3 linked regions of the Caenorhabditis elegans genome follow. The protein of the gene in region 1 purifies or fractionates together with the protein of each later gene. This does not show direct contact. Each region holds a gene or a part of one and is shown in the gene's direction. Other genes may lie near its edges.

What was found. The genes of interacting proteins can lie anywhere in the genome.
Region 2: the proteins of cul-2 (region 1) and rbx-1 purify together in Caenorhabditis elegans (affinity purification with mass spectrometry, with the first as the bait; one study listed by BioGRID). This does not show direct contact.
Region 3: the proteins of cul-2 (region 1) and lrr-1 purify together in Caenorhabditis elegans (affinity purification with mass spectrometry; 3 studies listed by BioGRID, with this or other methods). This does not show direct contact.

Annotation. Positions count from the first base shown.
Region 1 is NC_003281.10:13,684,263-13,694,527, forward strand, and holds cul-2 (Cullin-2), read left to right. Parts: upstream 1-3,388; coding exon 3,389-3,417; intron 3,418-3,468; coding exon 3,469-3,612; intron 3,613-4,354; coding exon 4,355-4,415; intron 4,416-4,549; coding exon 4,550-4,689; intron 4,690-4,851; coding exon 4,852-4,957; intron 4,958-5,179; coding exon 5,180-6,853; intron 6,854-7,347; coding exon of another isoform or gene 7,348-7,353; coding exon 7,354-7,446; intron 7,447-7,706; coding exon 7,707-7,835; downstream 7,836-10,265. Other genes in the region: WD repeat-containing protein dyf-2, read right to left, coding at 1-180, 234-301, 345-738, 995-1,194, 1,361-1,495, 1,568-1,633, 2,026-2,114, 2,172-2,183; cyn-2 (Peptidyl-prolyl cis-trans isomerase 2), read left to right, coding at 8,470-8,538, 8,822-9,073, 9,232-9,429. UniProt on the Caenorhabditis elegans protein: Core component of multiple cullin-RING-based CBC (Cul2-ElonginB-ElonginC) E3 ubiquitin-protein ligase complexes which mediate the ubiquitination and subsequent proteasomal degradation of target proteins.
Region 2 is NC_003283.11:9,686,858-9,693,424, reverse strand, and holds rbx-1 (RING-box protein 1), read left to right. Parts: upstream 1-2,902; 5' UTR 2,903-2,904; coding exon 2,905-2,979; intron 2,980-3,029; coding exon 3,030-3,236; intron 3,237-3,421; coding exon 3,422-3,472; 3' UTR 3,473-3,739; downstream 3,740-6,567. Other genes in the region: ZK287.7 (RNA_ligase domain-containing protein), read right to left, coding at 1-356; ztf-9 (C2H2-type domain-containing protein), read left to right, coding at 1,289-1,398, 1,448-1,535, 1,594-1,825, 1,874-2,277. UniProt on the Caenorhabditis elegans protein: Component of the SCF (SKP1-CUL1-F-box protein) E3 ubiquitin ligase complex, which mediates the ubiquitination and subsequent proteasomal degradation of target proteins.
Region 3 is NC_003280.10:5,031,314-5,039,385, reverse strand, and holds lrr-1 (PIF1/LRR1 pleckstrin homology domain-containing protein), read left to right. Parts: upstream 1-2,946; 5' UTR 2,947-2,959; coding exon 2,960-3,070; intron 3,071-3,123; coding exon 3,124-3,285; intron 3,286-3,335; coding exon 3,336-3,419; intron 3,420-3,471; coding exon 3,472-3,828; intron 3,829-3,877; coding exon 3,878-4,089; intron 4,090-4,497; coding exon 4,498-4,623; intron 4,624-4,675; coding exon 4,676-4,891; intron 4,892-4,997; coding exon 4,998-5,091; 3' UTR 5,092-5,244; downstream 5,245-8,072. Other genes in the region: golg-2 (Golgin subfamily A conserved domain-containing protein), read left to right, coding at 8-976, 1,033-2,043, 2,088-2,405, 2,454-2,522; F33G12.3 (DUF1308 domain-containing protein), read left to right, coding at 5,358-5,519, 5,562-5,732, 6,171-6,499, 6,709-6,905, 6,952-7,145, 7,190-7,270, 7,317-7,394; wdr-83 (WD repeat domain-containing protein 83), read left to right, coding at 7,678-7,753, 7,800-8,024.

The DNA of each region.
Region 1 (10,265 bases):
AGCCCTTTTTCTCGACTTCCGCCACCACAGTCACTTGTGTCAAGTTCGTCAGGTAGCAGATAGAGTTGTTGTAGGAAGCGGCAAGCGTTGGCATTTTTGTCACGAATATCGAGAGAACTCCGCTTTGGGACGACACTGCGACTAGTTGACCGTCTTCGGTCACCTCGATCTCGCTCAGATCTGCAAATTTGTTCGAAAAAATAGCTCAGCTTGCAGTAAAACCAGCTTCTCACTTTTCTCAGTTTCAATTTCTGTCAGCATAGTAACAGTCGTAAGCTCGTCGAGATCCCGAACTTTGACCCTGAAAATCATGAAATATTATCTGAAATACCGATTCTTCGTACATGTTGTCTCCGATGGTGAGAAGCTTGTTAAACGAGGTGCTAACAGCAATAGAAGCCAGATATCCACGATATTCGAGGAAACTGACTAGCTCCGAGCCGATTTCGTTGTTATGTGCCGAAATCGATATTATATAGCCACGGTCAAAGCCGATGAGTATATAACCGTCGTTAAACCACCTATAGGAGTGAATATTTCCATATTTCTCCTGAAACTGAAGATTCACGGGTTCGTCGAGAGCATTGTAATGCGCGAGCATCAGAATCTTCTTCCCTATAACCACGCTGACCATCGTGACACCGCTTCCACCTTTTCCATTCACGGAACCATAATCCATATTTGTGGGCTCTCCGTTTGTCGTCGTTGTGCTCACTGTGGTGCCCTCCAGTGTGGTTACTACAAATTTAGGTATTACTTGTATCAATTTTTAATGCCACGTTTTTTCGAGAGTTGGTTTTCATCTTAATATTGTTCTCTTGAAATAAATATAAAATTGAGGTCAAATTTATTTGGAAAGTTAAAACCTCTTGCAATAATACCCAGTAAATCGGAGGAACTATATTTTCATTCAATTCATTTCTCTGGGTTGACTGTTTTCAATTTTTTTCCAAAACATGATTTTCGAATATAATTTGAACGGAAATATTCTAACCTGAAAGTGTATTATCGTCACTACAAGAAATTACATAATCCTCCGGGGTTACTGTAATCTGTGTGACACTTCGTTGATGTTTTCCCATCACGGCTATCCGCCGAGACGTTCGATGATTGTAGACGACGATATTTCCTGCGTTGTTGCCGATTACCAGTGTAGGAGTACTTGGGGACCATGCAAGACATGTTGGGAGCTCTCTGGAATGAAGCAAGTTTTGGTGTATCACTTTTTAAATCTGAAGTACGTAGAAATACAACGAAAAATCTGTAATCTTTTGAAAACTCCAAAAAATCTCACAGTTTCAAAATTTTGAAATAATATTTTGTAACCGTATTTAGAAAATGCCCCCGTTTTTCAACTCACTTTGAAGAGGTCGCTCCACTCTCAACAGTATCTGTATTCCGCGAGTTCACATCCCATAGATAAATAGTCCCGGTATTTGCTACGGCAATCGCTAGTACATCACCTTCCTTATCCCAAGCTATGTCGATAAGTTTTCTGGAAGTTGAAAAAAGTGTAAATCACGAAAATCTTCTTTTTTCTTTACATTTCAAAAAACTCTGAACTCACCCAGTTGGATTCAACGCGTCAATAACATTTCCTTTCTTATCGTAATAGATGACCGTGTTATTGGCGCTGAAAAGTATAATTTATTGCTTGGAAAAGCTCAGCTTTAAAATGCATTTAAAAAGCTTCAAATTCAGAAATTCCAGAACCGATAATAATAAATTGAGAAATAATGATGAAAATTCAAATTTTCAAAAATCTGAACAATCAGCGATTGGCTCCACCCATTTTCAAACCAATCAAGGTCTTTGCAAACGCATTGGTCATGAAGCTCCCATTTTGGAAAAAAAATCAAACAGGACAATTAGCCAAAATTGAAAATCCTACTTCTAAAAGTTGGCTTTAAATTCTTTCTCGATTTTTTTCGTCTTTTTTGGAGTTTTTGAATTTTGAATATTTTAAAGAAAAATCTTTAAAAAAGATACTGTTAAAAATAAGAATTAAACAAAAAATAAACAAACCATGCAACAGCTACAGTATGCCCATTTGGTCTCCATCGATGAATAATCGGTCCACTTCCGTGCTCTTCTTCGCCTCTTCGATATTGAAGCTGAGCAGAAACACATTTAAATACTTCCTGATTTTTTGTGAGAGTACACGGAATTACCTTTAATGACATTTATATGAATGAAGATCTCCGTTGTTTTCGACGTTTGCCACTGCTCCCCTATGATTTGTCACTTATGTCACGAGCCTACAAATAATGGTTACAAAAAATGAAGTACAAATCATTGAGCTACCCGAGCCTTTGGGGAGTTGTTGCCTTGGTAACCGGGCTACACAGTGTGTGTTGAGCACGCAAATTGAGGAAAGAACAGGGGAAGTGGAAGAGGGGATTTGATCATTCCCGGTTTGGGAATAATGACAATTAGTAGAATTTTCTGGATTCTCGAGAAAAAAAAACAAACCGCAATTTCATCTTTTTATGTGAATATCGAACAAAAATATTTGATAAAATTATTCATTTACACATCTGGGGCAAATACATTTGTAATGGGAGAGCATTACGGGTACACTAAATTTTGAGAAGTATCTCATAGCGAAAACTACAGTAGTTTTTTTAATTAGTACTGTAGCACTGCTCCGATTTTATTTTGGTTTTTGGCCATTTATTCCAAGTTTAGCCAAAAAATGCACAAAAATGCCAAAAGGGTATTCTTTTTTTTAATTTTTCAATATTAAAATTTTTAGAGAAAACTTTATAATCAAATTCCAAAACGACTCCACCTTTAATAACTTCAAATATTAATTTAATTTTAAATTTTAGACTTCAGAAAATTATTCTTAATTTTTGTTCTAAACAGATTTCCTTTTTAAAATCCTCCTTTTCTCACATGTCACATTTTTCATTGTCATTGCCAACTTCTAACATATGACGTTCAATATATTTTTAACGTTTGTTATCTCTTTTCAATATATCTTCTCTAAAAATCAAATTTCAGCTTCTCCACCATATCCCCGAAAATCTTCAGTGTAACCTCCACAGGAAACCGGTCCGAGGTTCACCGTCCACAGGCAAAACTGGCGTCGAATACACAGCCGACATCGAATCGTACGACACTTGGCCGCCGTAAGGCAATTTCTGACGACAATTTTCCCGTCGTTGAGCCGATATTGAAGAAAATGTGAGTGCGTCTGCTGCGCATCGATCGATATTATTTGGTTTATGACCCCTGGTTTCTCATTTTTCGGTTTGAATATTAAATAATTGAACGAATTAAAAAAAGAAAGAATAATTAAAATCACGTGATTCTTTTTATCAATTAAATTTTCGTGTTTAGTTTTTTAATCCGCATTTCAAAAATTTTCGCTTTTTCCGTAAAAATGGCAAGTTCCACAAAAGTTTCCTTACGGTACCCGTTATTTTTTTTTGAAAATTTCGCACAAATTGTCATCATTTTCAGTCGTCCACCTCGTCCACAGGTTATGTACTCACTGAAGCCAAAAGTTGTGGAATTTGACAAAGTATGGGTGCAGTTGAGACCATCTATCATTGATATCATCAATTTGCGGCCGATCACCAATGTTCAGTGGCATCACAAGTTTAGGTAAGTTTTGAAGGAAAAGTTTGATTTTTTCCAGTGATAGAAATTTCAGAAAGTATCATTTCTGTCATTCAACAGATTTTTCGAATTTTTAATTTGAAAAAAAAGATTTTTTGGGATTTTTTGTTCAAAAATGTCTTGATTTTTGGCCAATATCTAAAGTTTTTGTGCAAAAACTATTTATATATAAGGCAAAAATTACCTTTTTGTTATTAATCCGATTTTGTAAAAATGTTATGTTTTAAAAAATCAATTTTTGAAGTTATTTTCAGCAATCGCGTTGTTTGTAAGCAACAATCCTAAATTCGATTTTTGACAGAGAAAAAAAGTTTTTCGAGGATTTTGTCCACAAAATCCGAAAATTTTTTGACAAAACTATTTTTTTTTATTTCACGTGTATAATTCACTGAAAAACTCAATCATTATTCCAAGAATTGTAAAAAATTGCTCCAAAACACTAACATTCACTTATTTTCCGATTAATTCAGGATTATCCGAAAAATCGATTTAAAAAAACATTGTTGCAAAATCGGATTGATGATCTTATAACCTCTTAAACATACTTTTTAAAACCATTTTGGTAGTATTTTTTGAACAAAATCCATTTCTGGGAAAAAAACATGAGAATTTTTGAAAAAAAAAAAGATTTTTGTACTTTCCAAAGAAAAATGTCAAGAATCACAACTTTACGATACGAAAAGCTGGATTTTTATAAATTTTTAATTTTTTTAAATATTGTTTTCAGTGACGTCTACGACATTTGTGTATCGATACCGACTCCATTGAGCGAGCGATTGTATAATGAGGTATCTCGAATTTGACGTTTTCGACGAAAACCGAAAAAAAAAATTAAAATTCTACTTTTTTCTTCGGATTCTACTATAAAAAAGGATTTTCTAGCGAATTTGGTGATGAGACTACAAGATTTCCATTTTTACAGGTGAAGGCTTGCATTCAAGAGCATGTTCGACAAAAGCGTCAAGATATCGTCGATGTTGATCCGGATCTGTTGCTTCAGGAATATCACAAAATGTGGAGAGTTTTCCATGAGGGAGCCATCTTTATTCACCGTCTCTTTGGGTTCGTGTGAAATTTCTTCGGAATTCTTTTTAAAATTCAAACAATGATCTGAAAATGCTCCAAAATGCATTTTTGTGAAACGTTTTCACTGCGTCGTTGTAGAAGAAAAAGAATTGAAAAATACCCAAAAAAAAGAGAATTAAAAAAAAACATTATTTACAGATACCTGAACAAACAATTCGTAAAACAGAAGCGATGCACCGATTTGGACAATTTCGCGCAGTACGCCGCTTTTCTGCAGATTCCAGACGTCAAGGAGATCGGATGTGTGAGTTTGCGACAAAAAAATTGCGCCAGGTTTTTAGAAATTTCTTTATGTTTTCGACGAAAAAGTGGGTGGAAATAAAATCCTAGGCCACGGAGATGACTTCCGTGGCCGATGATTATCAGTTAAGACCACAGTGCGCTTTTTCAAAATTTTGTGTTCCTGGAAAATAACTATTAAATAATTGAGAAGTTTTGAACCAAAAAAACAAATCGAAATTTTCAGCTCGCACTAGAAATCTGGAAAGAAGACCTCGTGAAGACCATTCTCCCGCAGCTCGTCAAACTTCTGCTCATCGCGATTGACAATGATCGGAAAGGAAACTTCCCGCATATCGCCAATGAAGTCTCCGGCGTCATTAACAGCTTCGTTAAGATGGAGGAGACGGATTTCGACGTTGTACCGGCAGAAGGAGCACGCTATAAGGCTCGCGAGTCGACAACGGCGTTCTATCAGGAGAGCTTTGAGAAACCGCTTCTTACGGATACGGAACAGTACTATTCGGCGCTCGCACAAAAAATGCTCACCGACCTCAGCTGCAGTGAGTACATGGAACAGGTTATAGTGCTCCTCGAACAAGAAGAGATGCGTGCGAAGAAGTATCTCCACGAATCGTCGGTGGAGAAAGTTATCACGTTGTGCCAGAAAGTTATGATAAAAGCTCACAAGGATAAACTTCACGCAGTGTGCCATGATCTCATTACTAATGAGGAGAACAAGGACCTCCGCAACATGTACAGACTGTTGAAGCCCATTCAAGCGGGACTCTCGGTAATGGTTAAGGAGTTCGAGGAATATGTGAAGAAGAAGGGGCTCGAGGCGGTGTCGAGGCTCACCGGCGAGAATGTACCCCAGCAATTTGTGGAGAATGTGTTACGGGTGTATAACAAGTTCAATGATATGAAGACTGCTGTGTTCATGGACGATGGCGAGTTCTCTAGTGGACTCGACAAGGCGTTGCAGGGAGTCGTGAACTCGAAGGAGCCAGGACAGTCGGTGCCGAAGGCCAGTGAGCGGTTGGCGAGATATACGGATGGGTTGCTCAAAAAGTCCACGAAAGGACTATCGGAGACGGATTTGGAGGCGAAACTCGACAGTGCAATTGTGATTTTCCGCTATATAGAGGATAAGGATATATTCCAGAAGTTCTACTCGAAAATGCTCGCAAATCGGCTTATAGCAAGCACATCGATATCGATGGACGCCGAGGAGCTGATGATTAACAAGTTGAAACAGGCGTGTGGTTATGAATTCACCAGTAAACTGTCACGAATGTTCACCGATATCGGGCTTAGCCAGGAGCTATCGAACAACTTTGATAAGCACATTGCGGACATTAAAACTGTGCAGCCCGACGTGAAGTTTGTGCCGACACAGACGATGATTCTGCAGGCAGGTAGCTGGCCGCTCAACGCTCCACAGCTCTCTACGAATTCGAATAATCAGACCGCACAAGACGTGGCCAACTTCCATCTGCCACGTATCCTGCAGCCTGTGATTCAGGAGTTTGAGAAGTTCTACACTGGGAAGCACAACGGGCGAAAACTGACATGGCTTTTCAATATGTCACAGGGAGATGTCAGGCTTACATACCTCGATAAGCAGTATGTCGCACAGATGTATGTCTATCAGATGGCAGCGCTGCTTTGCTTTGAACGTCGCGATGCTATCCTCGTTAAGGACATCGGAGAGGAGATTGGTGTGAGCGGTGACTATCTGCTAAAGACGATTCGAACGATTTTGGACGTTACCCTGCTGACGTGTGATGATCAGAATCTAACGGCCGACTCGTTGGTTCGTCTGAACATGTCGATGACGTCGAAACGGATGAAGTTCCGGCTTCAGGCGCCACAAGTGAATAAGGCTGTCGAGAAGGAGCAGGAGGCCGTCGCGAATACTGTAGGGTTTTCAGTTTGTTTTTCATTGGCGAGGGCCTCAAGTTATGACTTTTTGAGTTCAAGCACTAAAAATCTGTATTTTATTTAGTCCTAGACTTTAAAAATTTTTAAACGATCTCAAAAACCAAGTTTTAAAATGAGACACCTTGAAAAATTCTCAGCATTTTTATGACGGTGGAAATTAAAACAAGCCAAGCTCAACTAAAATCTCAAATGCTGAAAAATCTTTAATAAAGAGTTTAGGTGTTTTTTCGAAATTTTAAACCTTCGTAAAATTTTTTTAAATGTCTCACTATGAAATTTGGTCTTTTGTGGAAACTTTGAGTCAATTCAATCAATTAAACAATTTATCTGCTCCCTTTTTGAGCCAATGAGCCTAAATCAAAGCTATAAACTGTGGCCTAGAATTCTGAGAGACTAGACGTATTTAGTTAGGCCCCGCCTCGATGCAGCTAGATTATCCAAACACGTGTGCCTCGCAATCGTCAATATTAGTTCCAGGTTTCACAAGACCGAAAGTACTATATGGAGTGCGCAATTGTCAGAATTATGAAGACCAGGAAGGTTCTGAAACACAATGCACTTGTCACTGAGGTTTGTTAGATTTTTGTTGTTGGTCAAAACCCTGTAAAACGAGATATTCAACCGACTGAAAATGCTTTACAAAAATATTTTTGTTTGAATTTTGAACCAAGAAACTGAAAATCAAAAAGTGGATTTTCCTCCAAAAAAGAAAAACAAACAATTTTAGAAACAGTTTTTGGTCCGGAACCCCCCAAAAAAAAGCGAAAAAAATCTTTTTGCAAAATGTGCTATTCCACATCAAAAATGCGGAAAACAACATTTTCTTGCAGATAATGGACCAAACGAAAGGCCGCTTCTCGCCCGACGTACCATTCATCAAAAAGAGCATTGAGGACCTTATCGAGAAAATGTATATTCAGCGAACCGATCAAAATGACGAGTATCAATATTTGGCCTAATTCTCTCCCCCTATTTGCGTGTTTTTTCCCTGAGAGGCAAAAAACTAAAATTTAAAATTTACACTGTGTAAATGACTCTGAAACATGCCATTCAAAATCCCCACTATAATTTTATTTTTCAAGATTTTCTAACAATGATTGCTTTTTTTCCAAATTGAACTGTACTGAAAGTAAATCCCCTCGCCCCTCATCTTACATATTTTATATCATTTTTTGCTGGAGCTGCGCAACGGGGAATCATCAAACTGTTTATTGGAATACCTATTTTTATACTTTTGGAGCCCTCAAAAACTGAAAATCGCGGGAAATTCTCTGTTACTCCCGACAAACGGCTATTTGCCTATAAAACCAACCAGTCCGTAGCCTCTCCTTGAAAATGTATATGTACTATATTTGTCTTTTTTTTGTGTTCTATCCTCCCTCCTCAAGCAACTATTTTTTCTCCGGAATCTCTATGATTACGATAAAGTAGACAATTATCCTTCCCAAAATTCCAATTTTGTTTCATTTAAATTTTCACGTTTTTGAACTTGAACTTTGATCCACGACACTCTTACGGCACGTGGCAAGTCATAATGGAAAATTTGAACGTCGGTAGTTTTAAATTTATTACTGCGAAAAGAATCGATCAGCGATGCCACGTGTCAAAGTGTTCTTCGATATCACGATTGGCGGAAAGAAGGGAGGACGCATCGTTATGGAGGTAAGGGGGGCAGCGTTAGGTTCTCGGAGCAAATATGATTACTGTAGGCGCTAGTGGTATGTCAGTTTGCACTTTAATGAGTATAAATTGAGAAAATCGATATAATTTTTTGTTGCCATTTATCGATTTTTGTCGTTCTGTTATCGGTTTTTAGGATGATTGTAAAATCTTTTTCAATGGTCTTGCAGAAATTTGCCAGTTTTTCGACTTTTCAGGAAGTTACTAGATTTTGGCAACATTTAAAAATCAATAAACTAAAGATTTTTAAAACCTGTCGTTGCAGCTCTACAACGACATCGTGCCGAAGACAGCGGAAAACTTCCGCGCTCTGTGCACCGGCGAGAAAGGAAAAGGGAAATCGGGCAAGAAGTTGCACTTTAAAGGATCCAAATTTCATCGCATCATCCCCGAGTTTATGATCCAGGGCGGCGATTTTACGGAGGGAAACGGCACCGGCGGAGAATCGATTCATGGCGAGAAGTTTGACGACGAGAACTTCAAGGAGAAGCATACCGGACCCGGAGTCTTGTCGATGGTGAAGATTCTGAAAAACTAAAAAATCGATATTATATTTACTCAAGTTATCGATTTTTCTGTTATTGTCGATATTTGATCAAATTTTCTTTGAAATTTTTGTGAATATCGGGCTTTCTGAAATTTTATGCGCTCTGGAATTGACTATTGATTTTTCAGGCAAACTGTGGGGCGAACACAAACGGCTCGCAATTCTTCCTGTGCACAGTCAAAACCACGTGGCTAGACGGAAAACACGTGGTTTTCGGCAAAGTGATCGAAGGAATGGATGTGGTGAAGGCGATCGAGTCGAAAGGATCCGAAGATGGGGCACCGTCGGCTCCGTGCGTCATTGCTGACTGCGGAGAAATGAAGTGATGCTTCTCGAAGAACAACACTGGAGAATTCGTCTTTTTATTGGATAAATATGATTTTTATTCATTTTTTTAACAAAGCATAGTTTTTGATACGTGAATTCGAAAGACAATGATTCGTGAAGTTTTTAATCGTATTTACAGTGGGGGGACCACTTTATATCTCTAAAGTTTATTAGAATTTTAAATATTATGTCTCAGCCTCAAAAGCTTTGTGATTTTATGGCAAACAAACTCCGGGGATGCAAGTTTGTGGAATTTTGACGGAGTCCCTCATACAAGGCTGCCGCGTGGATTTTTAGAGGGCTCTTTCAATTTTGAAGTCAAACTTTCACGTTTTCAGCAAACTCTAGTTTTATATCAATATATTTACTTCCACAAATCAGAGGCCCCCGAACTAACTTTCCATGAAGTCTCTTTGCTGAAATGTCAGTCGTTTTTTTGTTGCGTGAATTTTCTAGAAATTGCCCAGCCGCCTACACGAATTCCGTCAGAGATATAAAAGTAACAAAAAAAAGTTGAAAACCGCGTGGTGACGTATGTACAGTTCTCTCTGGATGCCTACGTCTCTTATCATCACCACCGCTATTTTCGGTCAAAAACTGAGAGGGAGAGAAAAAGAGAGGCAGATGGTCAATAAGAGACGCAGAGAAAGAGCAGTGATGACTCCCCCAATCAAGAGTGCTTACTGACTTTTTCCCCATAGTTTTATATAGCACTGTTTTTTCTTGCATTTCTTTCATTTTTGAGTAAATTGATTTGTAGCAAAAATACTTTGAAAATCGATAAAAATAAGCTTTAAAAAAATTTTACAGACGTTTTTCCTGTAAATAAACTTCG
Region 2 (6,567 bases), on another chromosome or scaffold:
ATACAATCGGAAATTGTTACTCCCATTTGTTCTTGAGTCCTTGCTTTGATTGTACCAGCCCATTTTTCAGTTTTTCTCTCATCTCGAACACTATTCCCAAATACTCCACCATTTTCTTGAAGTTGTCCAACACATGACAATCCATATGGCTTTTCCAACACTACAAATCGACCTGGAGCGTGAGCCAAAACCTTTTTCGATAGGTATCGAGCCAGCTGATTGGGATTTGAAAACGTGGCAGGAGTCAGAGCTTTCTGAACTTTTGGATTTAGTGGAGCCGGTGCAGACTCCAAAGAAGTTGAAGACGCTGTATTACTTGTGAATCGACATGTCGATATTCGTCGCAGTGTGTTCATTTTTCTCTGAAAAATCTTGATTATTTTTTAATTATCAAAATAAAATATAAACCGAGTCTGTAAAATTATAAGACGAAAGGTTTCAGATAAGCTTTAGAATTTTTTACCAAATTAATTATCAGAAAGCGAGAAATTCTTGCTAGGAAAAAATGGTATCTTAATTTTACAAGATTTTGGCATACTTTCTTAAAGGCGCATGGATTGATTTGGACTGGTCTCGATGCGCAAAAAAGTTTATGGTAGCTTCGGCTGCTTTATCGTTTATTTCCCTTACATTTTCCAATGGAAGTACTCTGTTTAAAGCGAATTTCGTGTTTAAAAAAAATGCATATTCCTTAAGAATTGGTTTTAAATAAGTTTTCTAAACAAAAATTTCAACAAAAAAGAGACTGCCATGCATGGTCATGGTATTTGTACCATCAACTTTTTATCTCAAAATTAATTATTTTTCACAAAAATCTGACTCATATCTGTTCTCTCACGTTTTCATTTTTCCAACAGTTTTTCCCACTTTTCTTCCGCCCATCCCGCTCCTTTTTCTTTTTTTCCTATCGCCACAAAAACACACACACACACACAGCAGAGAGAAAGAGATAGGAAGAAGACGAGTCGTCGCATTTTTGTCCTCTCTCTTTCCCTTTCTCTCTCCGTTTCAATGTAGCGCGAACCGAGCGATGAGAAGAAGAAAAAAGAAGAAAGAGGAGAAGAAAGGAAGGAGAAAGGAGGAAGAGACTGGCCATTGCCCGCCCGGCCTTCTTCTCCTCCTCACACACACAAAACCACCCCCTTCTCTCCATTTTCCTTCCTTCTTCTTCTCACCATTCTTTTCCTTTTTCCACGCGTCTTCAGTTGATTTCGAACACATTTTGTTAACCGTTCGCTTCTAAATCTATATTACTAAATTTGCAGAATATATTTATTACATTCAAAAAATGAACCGACTACTGGGATGTCTAGATTGCGTTCAAACTGAGGCCTACAACACACTGGAAGATCTCGAAGCACACATTGCTAGTGATCATCTTAACATATGCCCATATGAGTAAGTCTTTAACTTTTAATATGTGGTGAACGTAGCTTTACTATTTTAGATGCGAAAAATGTAAGTACGCTAAGTTTCCAACGGAATTCGCCCTTGTCAGTCACTGTATGAATGATCATGGACTCACCGAATTTTCTGTAAGTCTCCAATGTTGAGAGACGCAGAAAAAAAATTCAACAATAATTTAAATTGCAGATAAAATATCGCTACACACCGGAGTTGAGTATGAAAAAGAAGGAACTGACCCAAAAGCTCGAACGGTGCATTGCAATGAGTCGATCTATGCGGATTGAAGGGAAAATCAGCGATGCGGTGTCAAGCACAGTGGAGAACAGAGTCAAAGTCGAAAACTCAGAAGCAACTGGCACACCTATTCAGTCATCTTCTCCTGTTGTCTTCGTAGATAATGCTTATCATGCCTTTCTAGGTAAACTTACACATAATAATGATTCCCACTCATTTGGATTTAATTCAGACGAAACTCTGGCACGTCACGAAGAAGAACGTGGAGCCGGTCCTTCATTCGAGGGAGCATCTGATGGCGGTGGTCCGATCAAGCCGAAGCAACAAATTCAATGTTCTCTTTGTGGAGACGTTGTTTCCAAACAAAGATCAAGCATGGTGTATCATGCAAATACGCGTCACGGAAAATATGAGCTCTACGAGTGCGGAATCTGTCACAGAAAATGGCAGACAATTGCAAAATCTGATGTGATCAAGCACATAAAAAGCCATCACGAGAGACCCGACGGAACCATCGACTGCGACATGGTTATTGACTATCGAAAAAATCTAGGAAACAAGCTGAAAGAAATTACTGAAAAATGTTTTCCGGAGCGAAAGAAAAAGAGAATTGGATACACGGATTTGCCAGAATAAATATCTTGAAACGATTTAAAAGTTGTTTTCTCATCGTCCCAATTGTTAGAATTACTGTTAAAATACTAACTGATACGGTTTATTTTTGTTAAATACAATTTTTCTTTTTAACCTGTTCTTCTTTGTTCGTTTCGGCAAGAAATAAGACGCGACGAGTAAATTTTAAAAAGAAAGCGAAAGCGTGAAGACAGAAAATAGGTGAGTACGGTGTACGCAAATGCGCGTAGCGTCTGGTGTGTGCAGACAAGCGTTTTTGATGATTCTTTCGAAAGAATTTCGGCAGTGTTGCTCAGTCTGATTTCATTTTATTTATTTTACAACAGCGTATCTCCTTTTTCAATACATATTAGCAATAATGTCAAGTCCTTCATGTTTCCTCATTTTCTATCGGCGGCTTTGTACAACAATGTTGTATTAGGTTCGTGAATCACTTGTTCTAGGGTACAATTTTTCATAAAATCTGATACAACAATTTTATCAATCATATCCTCTATTTAGTTTAGGCTTATAGTATTATAGTATGCATAAACATGTTCAATATTAAGTATTTCATTATATCATCAATGCTACTTTTGCGCTCTTATTTTGAAATGATTACTGTTATTCTCATTTGTATTTTTTCCAGAAATGGCCCAAGCAAGCGACAGCACAGCTATGGAGGTCGAGGAGGCCACAAATCAGACAGTTAAGAAGCGTTTCGAGGTAACACAGATACAATGTTACATGCTTTAACAAACATAGTGCAATTTAAGGTCAAGAAATGGAGTGCCGTCGCACTTTGGGCCTGGGACATTCAGGTCGACAACTGCGCTATTTGCCGCAATCACATCATGGATCTGTGCATCGAGTGCCAAGCGAATCAAGCAGCCGGGCTCAAGGATGAGTGTACCGTTGCATGGGGAAACTGTAATCACGCTTTCCACTTCCATTGCATTTCTCGTTGGCTGAAGACACGACAGGTAGGTTGCTTTTAAACGTGCTTATTTTTGAAAAAATGATATTTATTCAAATGTCAAAGCGGAACAGAAGCCTGCCGCATGCATTTTTGTTAAACAACTTTTGAAAATTTAATTTTTTTCAATTACTAAGTACTCGTAACTAGCATTTCAAAAAGCTTACACATTTTCTAATTCTATCTTTTCAGGTATGCCCATTGGACAATCGTGAGTGGGAATTCCAAAAGTACGGACACTAATCGATCTTCATTCTTCTGCCAACCGCCCGGGCAGTTTCTTCACACTTTTTTACTTGTATTCACTGATTTTTCTTCTATTTCCTTTTGTGAATATGTATTCGTCCCAAAAAAAAGCACATTAAAATCCAGACGTGTTAGTCTCTATGTGATCTGACACTTTTCATTTGTTTATTCAAATCTCCAATCCCTTCTGACCTTCTAAAATCATCCTTCCTCGCTTGAATATTTAATTTTTCTCCGCTAAAAATATAAATATGAACTGTGTCCTCTGGTCTCATAATTCTCAACGAGACAATTCTCGTGCCGTTTATGTGCTTAGGCTGTTTAGGTTCAGGTTGCGGGCACCGTTCAAGCCGCCGGAGCAAAAGGAGGAGGTCTCGTCTCGCGTAATTTATTTGCAATTCGGCTAAAACGTTCAAAACCGAATTGCAGCACATTTCTCGCCGCTTCTTCGTATTCCTTTCCGTAATAATTGATTATTACGATTGCTTGTTCGTTTCTGTGCCAAAGTTTTTTTTAAATTTTGGATACTGATTTTTGTAGAGTTCTCTCATTAATATAGACCAAGATAATTTTCTGCTTTTAAAACTGTCTACAAACGTTTATTGTTCAATAATCGACGTTGCTAAATTGCGGATATTCTTAACTTCATGAAAAGTGAAGTATCACTTTAAAGGCGCACACTACTTCTCTTGGCTGGGTCCTGCCACGATTTCAGATACAGTAGTTCCTCCGAATGCCAAATTGCACAAAATTGTTCATACATATTTAGAAGTGTTGAAGTTCACAAAGTAGGGCAAAACTCAATGAAAATTATACACATCGGTTTATTTTTTTTAATATAACTGCCACTCGAAAATTTAATTCCCAATACTTCTAGACTGTTTTTTTTTCATTCTGAAGTAACTTAAAACGTTTCTTTAAAAACGAGGTATATTCAGGCCGCTATTGGGCTTTGGGCTTACTTAAACTATATAGTTTATAATCACCTGATATCTCACCGCGATCACACCGTAACCTACCGTACTCTCCAACTTAGCTACATATTTATATATTTTCTGTTATCATCGAAGTGATCAGATCAAACACCAATAGGTCAAAATTTACACCACGGGGATCAGTTACTGTCTGCGAGAAGATTTAATTGGTTTTGCGAGTTGTAACTCGAGATTCTCATGTCGGAACAAGCAAACCGACTCCCCTACCCAATACAGTGTATGTTTGTTGAACGTGTTCCTCGATCCACTCCCCGATTTGGAAATCCCATTTTTTATATCCGAACCGTCCGAATCTGTATTGTAGTGTGGGAATGTAAGACACAAGGCAGCAGTAGAAAACAAGAGTTTGAGAGAAAAAAGAATAGGTGGAGCTGCAGGTAGACCCGATTTTTATTGAACAACTTTTTGATGGAATCCGCTGAATTTCAATTGAAGCCACTTATCCATTCGTTTTTGTTGCAAAATCTCAGTTTCTTTTTTATTTTCTTTCATTTCCAGGAAGCCAAATTCGATCTGGCAATGATTCAAAGATGATTCTAGTCCTTGGATTTCAATTTTTAGTGAACATTGCTCACTCCTTACAGGTTGGTAAAATATCCTTATTATTTAAAAATCTATTATATCTGCAAAATCGCATATCAAATATCAATTGAGGTGAAATGGAAGATATAAATATTTTCACATTTATGATACTGGATGATTAAAATACCCAACGCTGATCAGCTTGTTAAAACTCGGTGCTCGAATTCTAAAGTTTTTGTCTAAATAGTTAAATCATAAACTTTTGTTGTTGCTATTACTTTCACGCCTCTTGTGAGTCTCTCAATTTTAAAGGAAATTGTTACTTATAAATCGACACAGGCTCTCCTCTTTTGTCTTTAAACATGAGTGAGGCTTGAAGCCTGCTTTTATGACTTTCAAATTTTCAGAGCGCATTGTTTTTTTTAATCACTAACGAAACAACCGGATAAATTCGTTTCAAAACAATTTATTAGGTTTTTAGATTACAAGTTTCAGTTTGTGGCAGATATGTGTTAAAATGTTCGTGTTTCATTCTGCAGAATAGTTTTAAAATTATATCTGCCCAAGAATTTGGTAGTTAAAATAAGAAGTTTCAAGATGAGTTTTAAATTATGAAACATACTGATAAAACAATTATTGCTCTTAGTTCTTTAAATTTTATTTAACCGAAATATTTTTCCGATTGACAAACCCGTCACAACTTCCGCCTACGCTTCTAGAATATCGAATAACTTTGGTCAACTATTCCATGTAAAAGTACATCCACCCCCTTCCCAGGATCGTTCACTGCGTGGGCAGCATAGAATTGACAATGGTGTATTTGGTAAGATTTTCTGATTTATTTAATTTGATGAAATTATATGAACATTGTGAAAAAGTCAAATAATCAAGCCAGTAAAGTTCTTCTGAGTTTTATCACCCCAAAACGTTAAACCAAAAATTTATCAAGCATTGATCCAACATCCCAATTTTGGGTCAAATTGTTTGGTTTGATCTACAAGTATTTATTCTCTAAAATTCAGAAAAGATTTAGCGAGAACGCTGCAAAAACTATGAAATCTTAGATCATTGAAAAACTTTTCAGATTGTAAAATACTGGTCATGTAATAGCAATAACATTCGTTCCTTTTATTTTTAAAACCATTTTGGATAAATACCAGTAATACTTCGACTTCCCGCTTTCTCAACAGGACCAATTACAGTTATTTTTTGTTTTAAACGTCAACTGTTCACTTGATCCCTCTACTATTACAACAAAAAAAGGAAATATCTGCTTCGTTTATCTAAAGTTTCAAATTGAGCTCATCCACCTGTTTATCCCAACAATCTCTACTCTCTCGCACTGTATTTGATTTAAACGAGGAGGAGTGTCTTGCTCCCAGAGAGTCGTGAAATCGTACGAGAGCCTTCTTCTCCTCTCCTAAAACGGCTCAATTTGGGCGGCTTGGGGATAGGATAGCGACACTGATAGGAACAGTGGATTGAGTGAATATAATAGGAGACAGAGAGATTCAGAGAAAAATAATAATCGGAGGTTTTCGGAGATGAATAGAGGAGCTGACCTGATTTGGGATG
Region 3 (8,072 bases), on another chromosome or scaffold:
TATTCAGGCATTGTCTGCAATGGTTGAAGAGAAAGTTTCGTCTCAAAGTGATCTTCGTCAGGCAAACAAGCAAATCGAAAAACTTCGACACAAGCTGGCTGCTGCAGAGAACATTGCCAACCAAATGAGCAATTCAACATCATCTGGACTTTCGTCAAACGAAATTCGAAAACTCAATGAAGCAATTGCACAAAAAGATTCCCTATTAACTGCACGTCATCAAGAGCTAGAAGGAGCTCGACGAGAAGTTGCATCAATGCAAGCTAACCTGCTAAATGTTCAACACGAGAGAAGTGAAGCACAAGCACGTGTGAAAAGTATGATAAAAGAAACGGCGGCTCAAGAAAATCGCATCAGTCAGCTCATGAAAGACATTCAAATGAAAGATCTTTATTTGAAACAACTTGGAGCCACAGGACCGCCGGGAGGGATTCCGAATGAGAATACGAATTATGAAAACTTGCAACGTGAGCTGGAGAACGTTAAAGCTGAAAAATCACGTCTTCTCGTCGAATCTGCGACATTAAAAGCTCACTATGCTGATCGAGAGTATGCACTTCAACAAAAGCAAGCAGAGATGGCTTTAGAAATCGAGCATTTGCATAATCAAAAATTTTCTTCAAACGATCAAGTTGAACATCTCGAAAATCAACTCGAAATTGCTCAATCTGAACTGCAGAAGCTTCAAATGAATATGGATGTTTCTGAGAGGCATGATGAAATTCCAACTATCACAGAAGAAGATGTAGCAAGACGGATTCGTGAAGCGTGTTTCGTTGAAAGAGGGAAGTGGGAACGAAGAAGTGAGGATGATCAGAAACGCAGAGAAGAAGAAATTCTAGAAAAAGACAAAGTTATTTTCGAAAGAGAACAGTCATTGGCAGAACTTGAAATGAAATATCGACTTTTGGAAGAACGAACGTTAGAGTCAACTGCAAACGGAGCTGATTTGTTGTCTCTTTCAGAGCAACTACAGGTAGATTTACAATTTTCAATATTTTTCCCTGATTTTTCAAATTTTCGAATTTACAGAACGAAAAAGCGACCGTATCCCGCGCAGTGGCACAAAACAAAGAGCTTAAAGAACGTCTCTTGGAAACGGAAGACCGATTTGTTACTCTTACGAAAGAAAAAGCAGATGTCGAGCTTGCAAAACAATCTGCTGAGCATCAAGTACGGGAATTGACAAAGCAGTTGAATTTAGAAACCGCGGGTCTTGTTGGTAATCTGTCAGAAGTAATCGCTCGACAACCTCATCTCGAAGCATCACAAGAATCTGCTGCAAGTCAAGAACAACGTGAAGAATCTCAAGAAATCGTGAAACTCAATGAAGAATTGAAAGAAAATATCTCAACGCTTCAAAGAGAAAATGCAGAAATCAGATCCGATTTAGAGCTGAAAACTCATGAACTTCAACTGGTCCGTGCTGATTTGAGACGAAGTAACACTCATAATGAACAAATGGACGAAATAATGAGGCAAAATGCAGAAGATGAGAATCAGAATTCGATTCACGTTGAGCTCACTCAAGCAGTTGGCAGAGTTCAGGATCTTCATGCCGAAAATGAAGCACTCAGAGAAGCTTTTAATAATTGCCGTCAACAATTGGAAGATGAACGAGCTGATAGAAGAGCAGAGGAAGAACGGAAAGATCTCGAAAGCAAACAGGAACAGCTGGAGTTGAAAGAAACCAAGGTTCCAGAAGAAGCTGAAAATCAGCAGTCTTCTAGAGAGCTTCATGAAGATCTATGGGCACGAAAAGAATTAGAGAAACGATTCGCTCGAGCAATGCTTCAGAATGCTGAACTCGTTGAGACAATTGATCGATTAGAGCACATCAACCAGCAGCTAGAACTCGAAAATGACACAATTGCTGATCACGTTGTTCTCTATCAGCATCAGAGAAAATTGGTTCGTGAAAGGCTTCGTGTAAAAGATGAACAATTGAAGGCTATGGAAGAGGACAGAACGAAAACTGTTGCACGATGCCAAGAACTGCAAAATGTGTTAATGACTGTACTTAACAAAGGTGGAGTATTAAAGGTAATTAATCTATGAAACTGTAATACCTACAAGCTAATTTTTAGGAATACCAGACAAGCTCAATCTCCCGAAAAGCAGCTCGCCGAGTTTCCCGAAGCTATAGCCATTCGACAGTTGATGAAATGAGCGGAGACGAAGATGTTTTGGTGGACGCCAAATTGGAAGAAGTTCCAGAGCGTGAAAAAGTACATGGTAATAGTGATGATGAGAAGATTCCAAGTACTCCACCACCAACTGTGTTGGAAGCTCAAAATAGTCCACGATTATCGGATTGTTCTGCTGACAAAGATAATAGTGATACTTTCGGGCAAACCCAAGATGCATCTGTTAGACGAATTTTGGAAATTATTTCTGATATCAGTGTAAGTAGAATATTCTTTGATTCATCGTTCCCAAATATATCTTTACAGAGACCCCAAATTCTACCCGCTGGACAACTCCACTGTACACAATGCATTGGAGATCTTCAAGAACTCTGAATAAAAATGTGCATAATGACTTTACTGTAAACTTTCTTTTAGCTTATAATGTGGGTACAACTTTTAGCTAATTATTATTCTTTATTGTTTCCAGTCCCCGTTTTTTTTGTAAATTTCGACTCTCCCGCTGACTTATTTAAATTATCGTTTTCATCCCCCAATCACTTCCTGTGTTCATTTGTGATATTTATAAGTGACAATTTTCTATTAATTTTATTGAAGTCCGATTAGTTGGTAAGCAAATGGTAATTATTATTTATTTTTTCGTTAATTATTCTTCTTGGGAATAAATGTAAAAACTTTAAAATGTAACTCTCCCCAGTGCTCTTTTATCGGGTTCAACTTGATTTTCCAGAAACTTATTTTGATTTTCAGAGACTTGCTTTTCAAATACAAAGAAACTACCAATAGTTGCTTATTCCAGATTTCAATAAAAAATGCGATTACCATGTGAAGTGGTTTTTGCACGTTATAAAGCAAATGCCGGAGTTAATCCAAAACCCACGAAATCGCAAAAAGGATTTGTTATTCTGCAAAAACTTCGACAGGTAATTTAAATTTTCATAAGTTAATATGTAACAAAACAAAAAAATATTTCCAGACCCCTCCACAATATCAGATAACAGTGGCCGTGGCCGGTGACAAAACTGGAAATAAATTCGAGCTCAACAAGCCGCCAATTATTCTCGACAAATTTATTGCTCAAGGAAAAACCACTATCACATTTCAAACAACTCCTGCTGTGATGGTTTGCATCAGTAAAGTACGTGTAAAGCATTTTTCAATATAAAAATAATAATTTTTATTGTTCAGGCGAATCCAGAAGCGTTGGCACAACTGATAGAAGCCATCAGAAAAATTGTCAAAGGAGAAAATGTGGATATTGAGAAAGTGAAGGTATTAAGCTTGACGGTGGAATTGAAAGAATTAAAATAAAATACTATTTCAGGTAAAAAGTTCCGACTTCAAACCAACTACCATCACGGTCAACAATCAGGCAACGTACAAAAAGCAAATGCAATCATGCTCCGAATTCCTGAAAACACTAAAAATTGAGCCTATCGATTTACGGAGACCTGATAAAGCCTGGAGATTCTGCCATAATCTCACCAGATTAACACTCAATGGAAATCCAATTGGAGCTCATAATAGAGATCTTGACGTGTTTAGCAAGCTGAAGCAATTACAGTCACTCGAGATGAGAAGCTGTTCCCTGGAGTTGATTCCTGTTCCAGCAATGTGTACGATGTTCCGAGAACTACCGACTTCTATCTCATTACTGGATTTTGGAGATAATCATCTTTCAGTACGGCTCCGAAAATAATTATTTTATAATCTTCAAATTTATATTTCAGATTTTCCCTCCAATCTTCCATCTGAAACAGCTCAAGATTATTAATGCTGCTCATAACGCAATAAAATATCTTCCATCACGTATTGGAGTTCTACAGAATCTAAATACAATAGATGTTAGCAACAATCTTATGACAGCTTTACCTTATGTATTCTCAAAAATTCCAAGTATCGAACATGTGGGAATTAATGCCAATGATCAAATGGTTAGATTGTGAGTTTTTTAATTTTTGTTGGAAATATTTAATTTTTAATGTTCAAGCTGCAAAATCGGACTTATGATTTTCCAAGTAAGAACAATTAAATTTTTCAATTAAAATTGTTTACCAAAAAACTGCAAAATATATTTTAAACACACTATTTTGCATATAAAGTCCCGAAAAAGTTTCGGCAATCGGCAAGTTTGACAATTAGCTAATTAGCCAAAATAAAAATTTCCGAAAAAATTTGTAACAATTAAAAAAAACAACTATATTTTTAGTAAATTGCAAAAAAAATTCATGTTTTAACGAAAAGAATAAAAAAATTTTAAATAGGTGAAATTCCAACAGAATAAAAACTAAAAAAAAATAATTAAAATCGACAAGTCGATGCAGCCTATTGCAACCGATTTTTATTTTAGAGAAGAAGAAATTGGACCAATTTTCATACGTCGCCTGCTTACAAAAGTTGATAATATCGAATACACACACGAGGGAGGTGTCGACAAATTGGGCACAATTGCTGCGAATGCTATTCATCGAGAAGAGTACGAGAAATTAAAACTTTAAGAAAAAAATCTTAAATTGAATTCATTTCAGATGCTCAAAATCGATGAAATTTGGACGTCAATTCCTTCCACTCTCACTTCGTTTCGATATGGATGATCTGATGTTTGAAAAACCAGGAATATCATCTCTCGAATTGTGTACAGGATGTGTCAGACTTCGGCATATTCGATATATTCGACCACTTATTATACAATCCAGACAAATTGCTAATTCTGTCGACGTGATCGGAAGATTTGTCACATTTGAGTTAGTTTTTTTTTTCAAAAAATTAAATTTAAAAAAGTTGACAAGTGGTTTTAATCATTTGTCCAAATAAATTTTTCAAAAATGTAATAAGTTTAATTAATTGCAGCCGTCTTCTCTGTATCGACTGTTACCGGAGAACAACTTCAACAAACAATGGAGAACCGCCGTTCCAATGTGATTACTTCCAATTTGCAGTCTAATTTTTCATTATTATCTCACCTTACTCATTTTTAAATATGTAAAAATTAACCCGATCTCAGAATGGGTAAAAAATTGTCCGATGCCTTAAATTTCGAATCTCTCACTTTTGAATCTTGAATCTCACCTTAAGAATAAAAGTTTCCAAGCCTTTTTCTGCTTTTAATTGTTCAATTTAATATTCTAATACTGTTATGTTCGCGAATTTCATATATCTTTTATTCACAAAGTTTTTTTTTCTCAATTTCTGAATTAATTCAGACAAAAAATGCATGGAGTCGACGAAGATGATTTGGAGAGGCAGCGAATCGAAAAAATCAAAGAAGTTCAAGAAGCAGTCGCCAAGTTGACGGGCGCCAAATTCCAAAAATTGGAGAATTTGCAACGAATGGAACGAATGCTTAACAAGGAAATTGAACTACTTCAAAATGTATTTTATAGATTTTATGATTTTTAAATTAAGAATTTTCAGGCTACACGAAAAGCTCTAGAAACTCATTTGGTCACATGTAACTACGCATTCTACAAATCAATAATCGATGAAGTTGAGGAAATGGAAAATGCGACGGCCGTACTGAAAACGTTCAAACGGGATAATGTATCGGTTACTGTAGATATTGTGATGAAAGAACCGAATGTTTGGGTTAGTATTATACAAATCCGAGTTTTTGCCATTTTTCACCTAAAATTTGGTGCCCGGTCTCGACACGACAGTTTTTCGTATAAAACAAACAGGTGTGCGCTTTCAAAGAGTACTGTAATTTTTAATAAAACGAATTTTCGTCACTGTGAAATTTTTATCGATTTGTAATAGTTTTTCTCACAATTTGTATTAAAATTGTGTATTTTAATTGTTTTGTTTCAGTTCCTGAATTAAAAACAATATTTTTTACGAGAAACTGAAAAGTTTGAAATTACAGTACTCTTTTAAAGGCGCATACGCTTTAGCATTTCTCAAATATTTATCGCGTCGAGACCAGACACCGTATTTTTTGAACAAAAATCGCAAAGAAATCCGCATTTGGGTTATTATTAAACTCTTTTCATATATTTTCAAATAAAATTTTAATTTTTCTTTCAGATAAAACTTGTGAATCGCCCCGCCAAAACCGTTCTCATCGAATATCGAGACGGAAAACGAAATGGCGACGTTATTGCACAAATAAAGCAACATCTTTTCGTATCACGCCGTTTCAATCGACCACAAATACGAATTTACTTCAGAAATGGAGTTCTAGCAGAGATGGCCCAAAAACTCATTCGTCATGGAATTGTTGTTATTGGAGAGCACGTCGATAAATCAGATCCTAGTTTACGTGGAAAATGGAACGAAGAATTAATTGAACGGCTTGGAGAAGAGGAAGATTCTGACTGGGATGAAGTTGATGAAGATGCTGCTTCTATTCCAACGTAAGTTTAAATAGGTTTTGATGAAATAAGAAGCAAAACATTTTGCCGCCAGCAGGGGTCGAACCTGCGACCTTGGGCTTATTAGACCCACGCTCTAACCGACTGAGCTATGGCGGCCATGTTTTCTGTCCCGTTGAAAGGCAAACACGTTCTTGCGTCTCCCCATCTCTCTCTCTCTCTTTTCCCGTACTACAATAACTCTATTGCAGGCTACCCTCCTCACAATCGCAGTCAGAGTCAACACTGCCACGCTTAAATCTTGATATTTCGGCTGTGATGTTGTTAGTTTCGAACATGTGTGAACCTGGTGGTGTGAATTATCAATTCAAAGAGGAAATGATCAATAAGCATGTGGAATGTGAACGATTGAAACCTGCGAAGGCTGAAGTGCTGGAAAAATTGAAAGGTTTTGGATTGCAATTTTTGTCAAAAATAATATTATCAATGTTCAGGACATCATCTGATTATGTGTGAGCTTGCCTATAGAAGAGTAGCAGAAATCGTAAAAAATGTCGGCGGGCCTACGGAGAAGAAGCGATTCGAAGAGCTAAGCAAGACGATTGAGCGTGTTCAGGATCAACCATCAGATGAAATTGGAAGAGTTGTCAAATTACGAAATATCAAAGGAATAACGTCAATTACAAAGGTTTTGAAAAAACTTTATTCAATATTTAATTCATATATTTTCAGAGAGTCTTCTCATGCGCGGAAGTTACCAAAACGACTACTGTAACTGCCAATCAAAAGTTTTTGACACATTCTAGGGCTAAGGTATTTGCTAGTTAGCTAGGTATCAACTAATTATATATAATTTCAGCACATATACTTCGATGTCATCGAAATTCCACCACGTCCTCTTACCGAACAGAAAGAAGCTACTGCCAAAGTTATCTGAAGAACATATATTTTAAATTATCTAGTTCTTGTTTTGAATTATGTTTGTATTATTTAGGAACAAGTATAAGTTGCCTTCAACATTTCAATTGTGATGATCTTTATTATTTTGACCTCGGTTCGAGTATTATACTGTATTGAAAGTGTCCCGATGAAATTGATGAATTACTCTCCTTTTTTATAATTCTTTTGGATCTATTTTCTGGTTTAGCAGAAGCCATTCATATCTTACAAGTCTCAATTTGTTTTTCTGAAATTATTAAAAGTTGTATTTATCCAGTAAAATGTCAAAATGCCCAACGGTTCGTGCAAGAGCAATTGATTGTAAGCAAGGTGCAGTACGTGCGGTTCGATATAATGGTAAATTTGAAACAATATATTTTAATTCAATAAAGTCCATTTTCAGTCGATGGAAATTACTGTGTAACATGTGGAAGTGACAAAACTGTCAAATTATGGAATCCATTGAAGAGCAGTCTTCTTAAAACATATTCTGGAACTGGAAATGAGGTTCTTGACGCCGCTTCATCATCAGACAATTCACAGATAGCTGCTGGTGGAGCCGATAGAGCCTGTACAGTATTTGATGTAGAAACTGGAAAACAATTGAGACGGTGGAGAACACATGGAGGTAGTTAAGTATTACCCTGACGCGATATCTTGTGATTTTTGCGCTAAA